Linked DNA regions of Oreochromis niloticus. The main gene of each other region encodes a partner of the protein of the gene in region 2 in a complex. Links are inferred from orthologs where the notes say so. Each region holds a gene or a part of one and is shown on either strand. Other genes may lie near its edges.

Region 1 (7,162 bases), on a different chromosome or scaffold from region 2:
AAATGTTCTTCAAGAAGCCTGGAGAACTATTCCTGAAGACTACTTAAAGACTTGACTAGAAAACTTTGTGTCTGCCTGCTAGCTTCACCTTTACACCAGCGTTCCACTCCTGAGCGAACTTCTTGTCAGGAAAGCTGTCCGGCAGGCTGAGTTGCGTCCAAACCCGTTCCAGGTACTGGGTGAAGTTGAGGCTGCTCAGCAGGTGGATCTGACGGTGGGAAAACCGCGACTTCACCCGCTTCTCCAGCAGCTCCAGAACATCCTGAATGGAAAAAGAATCACAACACGTATTAAAAACACCTACCATTATCTAAGTAGCGTTTCTGAGAGGTATTCTGAGGCCCACCAGTCTGCAGGTGACGCCAACCACGGCGATGGGAGCCTGGGCGGACTGTGAGACGTCAAACAGGTTGTAGAGCAGAGTCTGGTTCTTGTGGTGGGCGAATAAGTCGAACTCATCCAGGACAAACAACACTGGGCAGCTACTGCTGCGATTGCCTTTTAGGATTAAAAAACAAAACAAGAACAAAAAAAAACATCAAACCTGCCCCTCTAGTCTGAAATCAGCTTTAAATATTTGAATTTTCTCACCTTTTTTTAATGCCTCCAGGAGGAAAGCCAGATTTTCAGCAAAGCTTCCCTAAGGAAAAAAAAAAAAAAAAAAAAAAGGTAGAAAGATTTTTGTAGGAGTTTTCAGAGCTGAAAATGTTAATAACAGTCTCTCTTAATACTCACAAACACTTTGTCTCCAACAACGTTTTCCAGGTGGAGCTGTCTGGTTATTTCTTTCAGCGCTATTCTGTCATCAGTCTGCAGGAGACCTGCAGCAAACACACAAACCCATCCATCCAATTCAGATTTCCAGCAAACGTGTGGGTTCTTAAATTGTGAGGAATTTAAATGAGGTTTGGCACCATTGAGGTGAACCTGAAGAAGGTTCTTCTGCACCTTCTCCTCTTTCTGCAGGTCTCTCAGCACGCACTGCAGCAGCTTCAGGCACAAAAACACAAACCTCACAGGATTCACAACAAGTCCATACTTTTAAAAAATTATTTAAATTTAAAAAACACAAATTCATTTTTTCCACGGCTCACCGTCGTTTTCCCTGCTCCTCTGGGACCCACGATTAGCACAGAATTACTCTCCCCGTGGATCGCCGTCCGCCTCAGCAGCTCCAGGAGGTGTCTGCAAACACAATGGCTTTAACTACAATACCCACAATGCTTAGTAAAATTTACACCCCCATCTCCTGCTTCTAATGAGTGGAAATCTCTCACTGGGGAAGCTCGTGTTGTGGCCGAGTCGGCCAGGAAACTGGGACAGAGCTGTCACCCAGGTGCGACTGAACTGGGTCACTGAAACTCACACCGAGCTCCAGGTCTGCTCTTAATTATAGATGACAGTTCTACTACAGGCCTTCTAAACCATCCAACACCTGTAGGAACTGAAGCCGAAACAAAAACAAACACCCTTCACAGCTTATTTGCCTTTCCCAAACACTTAGGACAAATTATTCATGGTTTTATTTTCACAAGGCCAGATTACAACAGATTCCTCCTCTCCTGTATAAACAGTAAGGTTGGAATGGCCTCGAACTTTTAACCTTTTACTGATCACTAGTAAAGGTACCTTTCATAATTACACCCTACATACTGTTACTATACGTTTCACCACAGTGGGCAGTGTTTTACCAGTCAGTGTGTTTTCACATTTTTAAGCCTCTTTCCAGACCTCCACTTTAAACAAGAATGTGTTTTCAAAGGACAACCATAACGAAGTCACAATGCGCACACACACACACACAGACACAAACACACAGCTTTGACAGCGCCAGAAACGCCCCGAGGATTAAAACAGGCCGATCCGGTTGAAGCTATGAGGCAGGAACCTGTGCCAGTCATTTCTCCAGTTTCTTTTCTCGCACTGATTGTCTTGTTTCTTATTTTAATATCCAACTTTGTTTGAATTTAACGTTCTGATTTTCTCCGTGATTTTCTTGTTGACATTATTATAAAATCACCTCTATCCACAGGCCCTGCTGTTATGAACTTACTTGTACTGAGCTTCTACTCCCTCTAGTCTGTCAGGGAGCCGCCTCTCACAAAATCGCTCCCTTAAAATCTGCTGAACCTGCACAGAAACATGTATTATAAATAAACTACATTTTATTAGGTATATTTCAGAGTATGACACTGAAAAACTCACTGGCTGTTCATACACACACCTGTTTGATGCATTCCCCTACAGGCAGATGAGCATCTCTGGCCTTCCTCTTACTCATGATGATGTGACTGTCAACTGCAAAATGTGAAAAAGTGGGAAAACAGGTCAACTTCAACATGCCACTAAATTCATTTATCAGGGGGATAATACTGACACTTTACATTGCCGTTAGGTGTCAATTAAATGCACCAACATGGTGGAAACAACGGTTTTAATTCCAATAAATAACACCTTTTTTTTTTTTAGTTTAAGCCAAATGTAAGACTAATAATCACCAAAACGAAATCACATCGCTTCAGGACATGTTTACAGTTGTGCTGTAACCAATGTTAGGGTCGATAACAGGTGAAGATAAAACAATTTAATTCGGTATACAGCTGATGCAACAATAACACTCTATCTCATAGCTGCCTTTGACTGCTTAACTTACAATTTGGTCAAAAAATGAATGTCTAAATAGATTTTATGTATGCCGAATTAGAAAGCGACTCATAAGTGTGAGAATCCGTCTCGGGCTGCATTCAAGGCTGAGATCATATCCGCCGACAAGTCAGGAGAACACAAAATTGGCATTTTTACAACAGAACCTCGGTGCTACACGCTTGCGACGCAACCCAGGGCTTTACTCGAAGATCTGCTCGCTAAAAGCGTGCTGAAGAAGCACGAATGTTTTCCATTTCTAACTTTGATTACTTCTACCGTTGTGTAAGACAGGTGTCAGCTAGTCGAGCTTCTTTTCACACACACATCAGAACAAACATACCGGGAGCAACGATGAGACGCCTCAATCTTCGCGGGAATACTCCTCTGCCAGCGATGACGACTTCCGGCTTTGACTATATCTGCTCTCTGATTGGCTGTGACTCAGAGCAGCGCTGTGGTTGTGGAATTATATTATTCACACACATACGCACAAATAAAATAATAACAAATAAAAAATGATTTAAAAGAAAAACATGACATATGATAATGTGCAAAAGTCAACAATTGTGTTTTTTTATATTTTGTTACCAAGTAGACAGACTTTGTTCTATTGTTTTCAAAGTGGTCTTGAGCAGTAGTTCTTGAGGCTTCCTGAATGTCTTTGAACGTTTTTCTTTGGATATCGGCTGCTTTTTCACTTATTTTCTGCTCAGTCCTTGTCCCTGGCCAATCTTTTGCTGGTTAAACCACTATGAATCATTGAAGCGTAAAAAAGACAACCACAACCACAAAAACACATCATTTGTTCTAATGTCTTTAGTTGGATCTATGAAAAATGTCAAAGATTACACAGTTTGACAGACATTAAACAGTATTTTTTGTACTAACAAACGTGATTCCTAAAAGCTATTAGCTGAAAACTTGGCATAGCACAACATGGTGTGCAGTCTGCCCTCAAAAAAATCTGAGGAAGCTGGAGAAGTGGAGGGCTAAAGAGCTGTCAGCCTTCAAAAACCATCTACATCAGATGAACAGTATCTGAAAATCATGTCCTTAAAAAACATGAAAGAATCCAGTAAAGAGCTGACACAGAACCATCTACTGTTCACTGAAGCCTCATCAGAAATGGGCTCAAGTAGAGATTTAGATTTGAAGCTATGTAAGCACAAAGCTATTCAAATATGTCAATACTATTAACATAAATCCACAACAATTTAAGTCACGTTGTGATTTAATAAAAGTATTAGCAGTAAAGAAGACATTGCACAGAGGTTATATTTGAATTTGAATATTTGAATAACCCATTCAGGTGTGTACAGACTTTTGAACTTGTTTAAAAAATATATAAATTAAAATGACAAAATATTATTTTATTTTCAATTTCAATTTCAAATACAATATTTTTAATTTGTTATTATAACAAATGACACATCCTTGTCTTGAGGGCAAAAGTTAAAAACAATGTGTCTTTTTATGCTTTTTATGAATTTTACATGAATAGGATTTTATTTGTTGAATTTTATATACATTTTATTCTTGAATTTGATCCTGCGCATTTCCGTTCTACAGCATTTACTGGCTATGAAATGAAAACAATATGATATTATATATAATATATTATTCACAATTCAAGTTTTGTAGATTACATTTTATGTTATTTTTGTGAAATTAAAATAACAGGATGCTCTTAAGAGATTTTACATCTGCATAAATGCTAAAAACAAGTCATTTTGGCCAGTTGCTATAGGTGGTTGCTAGGCAACATGATGGCATCATAACATTTGACATAGATAAGAACCTTCAGGTGCCTAAGACATACTTGTGTGCCAAGTTTGGTTGCGCTGCTTGTGATCATGTAGGAGGAGTTGGTAGACAAAGAAATGAACACACAGATTTTCTGTGTTATAGTAAGATATATAAGAAATAGTCTGTCGGCACTGAGAAAGACTACAATTATGTGTAATTATATATACGTTTATTTGTGAAACTATAACAGCCACTTCTGCTCTGGTTTGATAAAATTAGGAGGGATGGCTCATGTGAATGGCTAAAAGGCCGCCTGCATAACAGCATCTTTTACTCACTGAAGCTCTGGAGACACTTAAACGCTTCCTGCGGCTTTTTGGTTGACTGATGAAAAGGAAAAAAAAAAGACACAGCAAACCGCCAGATATCTCGCAAATCGTCTCCCGCTCTCCGCTCACATTTAGCCTGTCACATTATTCTAAAATACGACCCTCCGCTCGCACATTCAGCCCTCTGTGTTTGCCCTTAAAAATACATGAAGCGCTCCTTCCTTCAGCAGCCCTACGCTGAATTCATTTAACGTCTCCTCGGGTTTGACCTTCACACAAAATTCAGGCGTTTGCACCCTGAGCTGCATCTCGTCCTCGCTTCAGACGGCTGAGCTCATGTTTTCTTCAGCTTTTATGACCTTTATTTATCTCAGGAAATTATTTTGCTGAGTGTCTGTTTTTGCTCCACTGCAACTTTGTGTTGTATTTTTGTAGTTTTTGTGCGCGCAGCCAGTCAAAATTAACCTTAATGAGTGTCATCTTGTTCATAAATATGAATAGTTTAGTTTCTGCTAAAAGATGTTCTTGTAATTAATCATTATCATTGCAGTTTGTAGCTTATGGTGTTAAACGCTTATCAAATTACACTTCATATACAGTATTTAACAAAGTACCTGTAAGGTACTAGCAAAATAACTGGTAATGGGATTGTTTTTAATTAGATGGTGACTTTTTTTCTAACCCTGTGAGTCCACATATTCTGAGTTTCAGTATGTAGCCATTGGCTTCTGATCATTTTAGTACATTGTGCTTAATATGTAAAGACCACCTTTTATTTTTGACAAAGTAAGACATGGTAATGATAACGTTACAAAAGTTAAAACTTCTGTAAGGGGTCTTTATGTAAGCTTACCTTCTGCAACAATGACCCTTCCCCCTACCCCCAAAAAAGGAAAAGGAAAAAAAAAAGTTGTACTAAATTAATTTCCTGTCACTTTTTCTACCTTTTAGAATTAATCAAAGTCATTATTCGGCATTAACTCAAACTATTTTGCAGATCAAGTCAGCAGAACTTAAAGATCACTGTGTTCATTTCTACTGTTTCTGATGTGAGCCAGTCATGTCCTCCTGTGAACCAGCCTATTCATTTATGTCCTCTGTAATGGACATTTGTTTTTGGTTTATATCTTTTGAGTGATTTGAGATTCTTAAAGTCCTGATGTACTAAATAAAGGACATCCTAGGCTTTCCACTGATATCTCATGTGTTTGAGTGGCCTCTTTTAGCTCCAAAGAGGAAAGGACTCACACATATCCTTTTGCCTTGTCTTGATTCTGCCTTGCACAGATTCAAAAAGGTGATGGAATTGTTCCTCTGAGATTTTGGTCCATGATGACATGACAGTATCACACATTTGCTGCAGATTTGTTGGCTGCACATCCATGACATGAATCTGCTGTTCCACCACATCCCAAAGGGGCTCTACTGGATTGAGATCCGGTGACTGTGGAGGCCATCTGAGTACAGTGAACTCAGTGAACTCATTGTCATGTTCAAGAAACCAGGTTGTGATGATCTGAGCTTTGTGACATGGTGTGTTATTATGCTGAAAGCAGCCATCAGAAGATGGTACACTGTGATCATAAAGGGATGGACATGCTCAGCAACAACGCTCAGGTAGGCTGTAGAGTTTCAATGATGCTCAGGTGGTACTAAGGACCAAAAGAGTGCCAAGAAAATATTCCCCACACCGTTACACATCCAACACCAGCCTGAACTGTTGATACAAGGCAGGATGGAGCCATGCTTCATGTTGTTTACACCAAATTCTGGCTTGATCCTGAATTGTATTAGTGTAAGAAAGTGGATGGATGTAATCAAAGTATACAGAAGAGCATCTCTGAACAGGCAACATACTGAATGTTGATGGAGATGGTCTACAGCAGCAGAAGATCATAGCAGGTGACACTGCTAAGAACAGGAAACTGAGGTTACAGCTCATCAGAAATGACCACAGCCTACCCATCTTCCGTCAAAGACAAAGTGCAGCCTGTCGGTCCTCGCCTAAACTCAGTTAATTAGACTTAACCAACTAACCTAACCCCATACCTGTTTTTGGACTTTGAAGAAAGGAGTTTGCATCTAGTCCAGTGGATGAATCCAACCTAGGAGCCTCTTGTGAGGTGACAGTGCTGATGACTGCACTGCCATGGCAGCCTTCCTTGGTTATAACAAGTGTCTTGTCGTGCTTGTTATATTGATTATTGTTTGAAATTGTCTAGTTTTAGTTGAATTTTTAGTAGTTTCAGTTTTGCTTTGCAAAGTCAGCTGACTTGACATCTTGATACCCAATAAACATCTCCATGAAAGCCTCGTTGGGGTGTTTGTGTTGTGAATGCGTCCAAACTGACAGAAAGAGTGAAAACTGTATATGAAATTTATATAACTAATTGTTAAGGTTTGTTTTAGTACTTAATATAATCATGCCACAGTCATACAGT
Region 2 (6,921 bases):
TTATACTAATGAGATGATAGACGAACTAAAAAGAACGCCATCCAAACTGTCTCCATATCCTTGTCAGATCTGTCCAAAAACATTTACAAGAACGACAGGGTTGAGAATTCACTATGAAAAAGTCCATCGATTGTCAAAGGCAGAAATGCAGAAGCTTAGAATTAGTGCTAGAAATAGACGTGCATTTAGACTTAACAAAGCTGATGCAGTTATTAAACGTCCAAACACCGATGTCAGTAGCAGCCAGATAGCAAAGTCTGCACCTGTAACTCCTGCTATAAAACAGGAACCACTTGATGTTGCAATTGCACCTCAACCAGACGCTGCCAACAATCTAGACGTTCCTCAGATCACTCCAGAAGACGTGTCAAAGCAAAGCGTGACCTCTGAGGTATTGACTGTTACACGACTACCATCACCTCAAAACTACTTGACTGACAGGCCGTTTGAGGAAGTGGCACAACCTGCTCCTGAAAAAGCTCCAGAGGAACCTAAAGTGGCTGTTATTAACAACAGTCCAGAAATGACACTGAAATCCAGTTTGAAAGAGAAACTCAGTCCCGTTGGCAAAGCAAAAGTGCCGCAAGGAAAATTAGCCGTGAGCCCGAGCAAAGTGAAACAGCTAAAGTCTCCGCCTTCATCTCCTTCATCGTCTCCTGAAAAACCCAGCAGCTCCAAAAGCACACCAACAAAGGAGGAGAAAAAGGAGAAACTTCAGAAGAGGTTAAGCCTCAAAATGTTTGACGCAGACAATGCCTACAGTCCGTACAGACCTTATCGCTGTGTTCATGAGGGATGCACTGCAGCATTCACCATCCAGCACAATTTGATACTCCATTACAAGGCCATGCATCAGGCATCCCTGCCCCCTAACAAAACTGAAGGTGAAACTGAAGCTGAAAAGACCAGCGTTAATACCGGACAGGAGAGCGATCAGACCATAGAAAAAGATAATGAAGTCAGGTGTCAAGTGAAAAATTGCTCAAGGGTGTTCATGGGAATCACACGGCTGGTGCAACATTACCTCTTACTACACAAGTTCACCCGTGACAAAGCCACCGCCATGATGGCCAGTATGAGCATAGGAACTTTTAACTGTGACCGGCCAGAGTGTGCTCTCCCCTTCAGCTCTGTGGAAAAATACATTGAGCACATTAAGAATTACCACAAGGAAATCGCCATTTCTGAGAGCGGCTCCGTTGATCCAACTTTCCGGTGCGAGTACGATGGATGTGACCGAGTGTACACTACAAAGTCAAACCTGCTCCGTCACCTCATCAAAAAGCACGACTATATTTATGACCCCAAAATAAGTGATGGAAGAAGGACTAAATCGGTAGGGCTCTTCCCAGGGGTTAACAATGGCAAAGAGAACGTAGAAAGCAAATTCAGAGTGAAAAAGAAAAACACTAAAAAGAAAGATGGAAAGTCCATTGAACACTGGACTAGTTTTGGAAAGCCTACACTAAAATCTCACGAAGAAGCATCGGCCATGTGCACCAAGAAGTCCTCGCTGCAGTACCCATGCATGATCATAGGTTGCGATGCAGTGGAGTCTGCTGAAAGAAATATATTTAAGCATTACACCACACATGGCCTCACAGAGAGATACATTGAAGATCAGAGGAGCCAGTTCATTTTCTGCAAAAAATACTCACGCGCCAGATGCAAAGATGCAAACAAAGCAGAGGGCACGTCAGCTTCATCTTCTGAGGACATGGAGCCAGAAGAAGTTGAAAAGCCCAGTGACCAGAAAATTGATGAATCGGTAGAAAAAATAGTCCAAGAGGACAGCAAGCTGTCCAACGACGATAGTGCAGAATCTCAAGCTTCCACTGGGACAGAAGGAGGAATTAAAAGAGGCCGTCCCAGAAAACCTGCACATCCCACACCAGCTTGTCCGGAGAGGATACAAACCCTTAGGAACCGCACGACTGTTAACAGTTCAAGAGAGAACTCAAATCCTGGTACCCCTGCAGCCCAAGAACAACGTGATGACGGGGTTATGTCAGCGTCTTTCAAGCCGTTAGGACTTGAGGACTCCTTTCTTAAGTTCTTGGAAACCTCAGAGTCGACCAACTCTTCCAAACGCAAATTAAATGATAAATCTAGTGCTGAACTGCCTTCCAAAAGACAACACACTAACAAACAGAAATCTGCAACCAAAAGTAAAGCAGCTGATGAATTGAAAGGTTGTGAGAGTCTTGTAGACTTCAGAAACCCCCTCAATCTCCAATCAGTGAGTAATGTTAAGATAGTCATGGATAAAACATTATCAGATGGCGCTGATCTTTTGCTAAAGCAGCTACAAGACATGCGGCCCATAGTCATAATAAAAAAGTGGATTTATAGCGGATCATAACCCGATATTTTTTGTTTTCAGCTCAGTCTTACTCAGGATTTGAGAAGTTATGCTGCAGAATGGTTTGTTAATGCATCAAATTTCCAACTGTTAACAGTCATGGTCACACTTAATGAAAAAAAAAGGCCTATTTTGTACCTAATGAAATAACGTCTCGGATGATTTTAAGTATGTATGTTAGTTATAATAACCAGGTAATCTATAGGGCATAGATTTTAGAAACATGTTTGTATTTATGCTTAGTACTGAAGATGTTTTTTTTTCTTTTGCTAAATGGAGACTTTTAAAGAAAACTATGTTTTTATATATCCCTATGGGATTTCAAGTTCTGTTTGTATTTATTTCATCCTTTTACAACACTAGTAGACCTATCTGTAATATTTACATGTCTTCCACAAAGTGTTCAATAAAATGTTACTGGTTCTTTTTATAACATACTGACTGCACACTTTCTATTGTTCTAACTTATATAGTTTACAGTAGCTTTGTTTACGCACAATGCCGCTGTGAAATTATGCACATGATTCGGTTTTAAATGATATAATATATGGAAACTTGGAATATGGTGGGAAAAGGTTGTTGTGAGTAACTGAATAGATGTGGAAACTTTTCATATTTGTGGACACAAAGCTTCCCAAAGGAGCCTGGAAAATGTACAGTTTTTGAAACTTTTTCCATAAAGGGAATGCCAGCAATCTACACAACTAAAGTTGTAGACCTAATGTCAGTTTAAAACACCTTAAATTGGGCATACTGACATGAAAAATGTCAATAGTATAAATAAATCAGTGCATTAAAACATACTTGCATATTAAAACATATTATGGAAGCTTGTTTCTTTCTCTCAAATTTTCCCCCATTCAAACTTCACAATTTCAACTTGCTCAGAAACTAAATTTTGAAACGATATGATGAAAATTGACGTAGCTCTGCTTGCTTTTCTTCTTCTTTTTTTGCAGAAATAAGCCTCCATAGTTCATGGAAAAGTACATTTTAACATAAAAAAAATAATATATTGAGCTTATTTCTATAATTAAACATACTGTTCATTCAGGGGGCTTGTGCATGCATTTTTGGCTTGTTTTTACATATTTTTTCTTAAGGTTATCTAAAACTTTAATTTATTGCGACATATTTCCTCCACACAATGCACAATGGGAATTAACTCAGCTAAAAAAAACTATATATATATATATGAAGAAGTAGGTATGCACTGATTTGAGACTTAAATGGCTGTAATAGAGCTTTATGATTGTTATTGCGTCATTATTTTAAGAGTTGCCAGCTGTAACGCAAAATGGACCTGAAGGACAGTAACGGGACACCGGAGATGCTTTGGGGGAACGTTCAAGATCAGCAATGTTAGAAAGCGTTAACAGCAGTGATCTAACGGGAAAAAAGCTTTCGTTCCTTCTTTTAAATTATTTATCTGGTGTAATTTAATGTTAGTTTTGAAAAGTGGGTTGTGGTTGCATAACTTAAAACAACTTGACAAAAGTATGAACTCACGCTTGAAGCTGTTTATCAGCTGAACACAACCCTTTCCGTATACGTCACTTTGGCGGGAAGTAGATACCCAGCAAGGCTACAGGCATCCGTCATTTTAAATGCACATAGGACCTCCAGCTCAGGGTACAGGCCGGGCTATTCACTGCGGACCCGTGTAGCGAAAGATGGCTACTTCATCCGTGTCAAAGGTAAAGTCTTATATATGTTGTGCTTCATGCATGTTTGATTAAAACTTATTAATTTACTGGCAGTCGTCATACAATGTTAAATGAGACTATTTGTCAACGTTTTTAGGGCTGCTTTGTTTTCAAGCCCAGCGCTAAGAAAAAGAAGAAGACTCTCAGTCTGGGTGAGATACGCGAGTGTTTATACAAGATTTGTCTTCCCGAGCTGTCGGGTGGATTTAGTGGTATTAAGTTGCTGATGTCATGTTTTTTCGCCACAGAGAGTTACTTCGTTCAGGGATGCGAGGATGCTGAGAGCAGTGAAATACGATTCAGGTTATGTCAGGAACTGTGGGACGAAATCAAAACAGACACAGAGGTGAGGACAGATGTTCAGCAGGAAGGCCAGAAAGTAGACTTTTCTGTCCCAAGAAGAAAATATGTGCTCAAAGTAAAGTTAATAAAACTGAGAAAACAGTTAACTGCCTCTAGTTTTTATTGTATACATGCATATTTATGCACGACTCTTCATACTACACATGGCTTTAATGTTGTATATGCAAGCGTGCTTTTATAGTGTTGTAAAATTGAATATATAGTGACAAAAGCAGGAGATGCCTCTGGAGTACTCTATTAATATGATTTTTTTTTTTTAAAAAAGTCGTTAATTTAGTCATGGTTTGATTTTTACTGAGCAGACCGTTTTTGTATCTTCTACATACAAATACATTATACATTCATATGTACTTTTTTGCTTCTTAGGTTTTACAAGATGAACTCAACAGGACAATCTTGGACAGTTTGCTGGACTTCACGAGGAAATGCTCCTCTACACGTCAAAACAGTGACTGGACATCACAGATGAGGGCCAGTGAAATCCCCACAGCAGCTCTAATGCTCGGTATGTTGGTTATGAGGCAGTAATATCTGATGTTTGAGTTAAAAAACATGTATGACTCTCACAACTACATATGATGTAGTATTAGTAGATTTTTAGTAGAAACGAGGCATTTACATTACATGCTGTCATCTCTACCTAATCTGAACTTCCTTTAATGTCCACTCTAGGTGTGAACGTCCCAGATCACGACATGACCTTTCAGAGTCTGTCTGACATGCTAAAGCAGTCTGTCAGCCCTCACGTGGCCTCTGTGCAGGCCAAAGAGTGTGGAGGTAAGGGGTTTCGAGATCAGTCAGAAATCATTTTGTGCTCCCCTCATAGGCTTTGCTTTAAATGGTATGTGTTTGGTTTATGATTTCAGCACTGAAGCATTTGATGAAGAAGGTGCTCGAACGGTTGATGGATACAGTTGTGGTTGTGGATGATGAAGATGAGGAGGAGAATGTGGAGACGAGCCCTCGGGTCCATAGGAGCATGCACTGCTCTCTCGGGATACTTTGTGATTGGTACACTGCAAGAACAAAGGTGGGAGCACAAACCACTGCTGGCGTGCATACAGAGACTTGGATTGTAAGTGATATGTATCATATATGATTTTATTTTTTTCAGAAATCTCCCACTGGTACTCCAGGGAAAAAACGTAGCTCTCAAGTCAGAGATGAGCAGCAGCAGCCTCCTGTTGTAATCATTTTCAAAGATTTGGAGGCTTTTAACCCAAGAGTTCTTCAGGACTTCATCCTCATCTGCAGGTAAATGAAGACTCTTGAGTTGAATCGCTTTCTTATTTTTAGGGCTGCAGATAATACACAAATCATTGATAATGCATTTTGGATTTGCAAGCTGGGCAAGTCTCTGCTAAACAAACTCTGCTCCACAGTCAGTACATTGACCGCCTACCGCTGACCTTCATCTTTGGGATCGCTACATCACCCAGTACCATCCAGCACATGCTTCCCCACTCCGTGTCCTCCCTGCTGTGCATCGAGCTTTTCCAGTCACTGTCATGCACACAACACCTGGCTACAGTCATTGACAAGGTAAGTTCAACCTGACCAAAGAATAAAAAAACATAAAAACACTGATCTGTGCAATCCTCCAGACGGGAAAACCTTCCTGATATCTATGAGTCCATGTGTACAGTTAGCTTTCCAATCTGAAGACTGTTGCATACTTAAGCATATCCAACATCTTCTTTTTAAAAGCGGTTTCCTGAGTGTAAGTTGCATTTTAAACCTCCTGACAACACCAGGTTACAGACGAGCAGCCTCTGGTTAAAGAGGCACGTTTTCAGGAATTAGATGGTACATTTATTATGAAGTGTCCTACATTTATAACAATAGTTTCTGTTTTCCATTTCAGTGCCTCAAAAAGGATACATTTCTTTTTGAGCCATAGCGGTCACACTAACCCTAACTGTAGACGATCAGTGGCCTGGAGGATGTAAAGAAATTAAATAAAAGTAGTTAAATTTTCTTTCTTTTATTATTTCAGTTGATCCTGGCATCACGCATTCACTTTAAACTCAACGGGAAAGTGATGCAGGTCCTCATTGGTGTCTTCCTCTACCATGATTTCTCAGTGAGAAACTTCATTAAGGGACTGCAGGTATGGAGCATCCTCTAACAGTCTCCGCAAGTCTGTCATCCCCCTGCTTTCTTGCCTGAAGTGTAATTCAAATACAGAAATATGTGAGTTTAAAGTTTCTGTTTGGTCCTTGTGCAGCTGGCTCTGCTCGAGCACTTTCACTCTCAGCCTCTCAGTGTTCTGTGTTGCAAGAAAAAGCAGGCTCTGTTCAACGTCACACAGCTCAGCAAACCCAACTTGGACAGGATAAGACAGCTGCCGTCGTTCAAAAGGTACTCAAACTTGTTTCTTTCTCCAATCATCCACGTGTGTGAGTCTAAAGTGCAAATGCAGCACTTATTTAGCTGCAAAAAGTGATAGTAGGTGTCTTAGCATGTTTTTAATTTGTGTATTTGTGTTGA

What was found. Proteins that work in one complex are often made in the same cells at the same time.
Region 1: the proteins of orc3 (region 2) and orc4 are in contact, whole or in part, in a cryo-EM structure (PDB 7JPO), measured with the Homo sapiens proteins. The link is inferred for Oreochromis niloticus from reciprocal best matches to the Homo sapiens genes ORC3 and ORC4. Residues at the interface, in NP_036513.2 of Homo sapiens: Thr227, His260, Arg261, Leu262, Leu263, Pro264, His265, Ala266, Ser269; in NP_001177808.1 of Homo sapiens: Pro370, Lys374, Glu377, Gln381, Ser392, Gly393, Asn394, Ser395, Gln396, Arg397.

Annotation. Positions count from the first base shown.
Region 1 is NC_031986.2:18,203,890-18,211,051, reverse strand, and holds the start of orc4 (origin recognition complex subunit 4), read right to left. Parts: upstream 3,110-7,162; 5' UTR 2,987-3,109; exon of another isoform or gene 2,917-2,986; intron 2,911-2,916; exon of another isoform or gene 2,654-2,910; intron 2,299-2,653; 5' UTR 2,282-2,298; coding exon 2,225-2,281; intron 2,131-2,224; coding exon 2,054-2,130; intron 1,186-2,053; coding exon 1,095-1,185; intron 991-1,094; coding exon 915-990; intron 822-914; coding exon 736-821; intron 641-735; coding exon 592-640; intron 499-591; coding exon 347-498; intron 263-346; coding exon 89-262; intron 1-88. UniProt on the Homo sapiens protein: Component of the origin recognition complex (ORC) that binds origins of replication. DNA-binding is ATP-dependent. The specific DNA sequences that define origins of replication have not been identified yet.
Region 2 is NC_031983.2:13,549,209-13,556,129, forward strand, and holds the start of orc3 (origin recognition complex subunit 3), read left to right. Parts: upstream 1-3,905; 5' UTR 3,906-4,035; coding exon 4,036-4,059; intron 4,060-4,165; coding exon 4,166-4,220; intron 4,221-4,316; coding exon 4,317-4,414; intron 4,415-4,797; coding exon 4,798-4,936; intron 4,937-5,103; coding exon 5,104-5,208; intron 5,209-5,297; coding exon 5,298-5,461; intron 5,462-5,545; coding exon 5,546-5,685; intron 5,686-5,813; coding exon 5,814-5,973; intron 5,974-6,427; coding exon 6,428-6,541; intron 6,542-6,658; coding exon 6,659-6,792; intron 6,793-6,921. Other genes in the region: znf292a (zinc finger protein 292a), read left to right, coding at 1-2,362. UniProt on the Homo sapiens protein: Component of the origin recognition complex (ORC) that binds origins of replication. DNA-binding is ATP-dependent. The specific DNA sequences that define origins of replication have not been identified yet.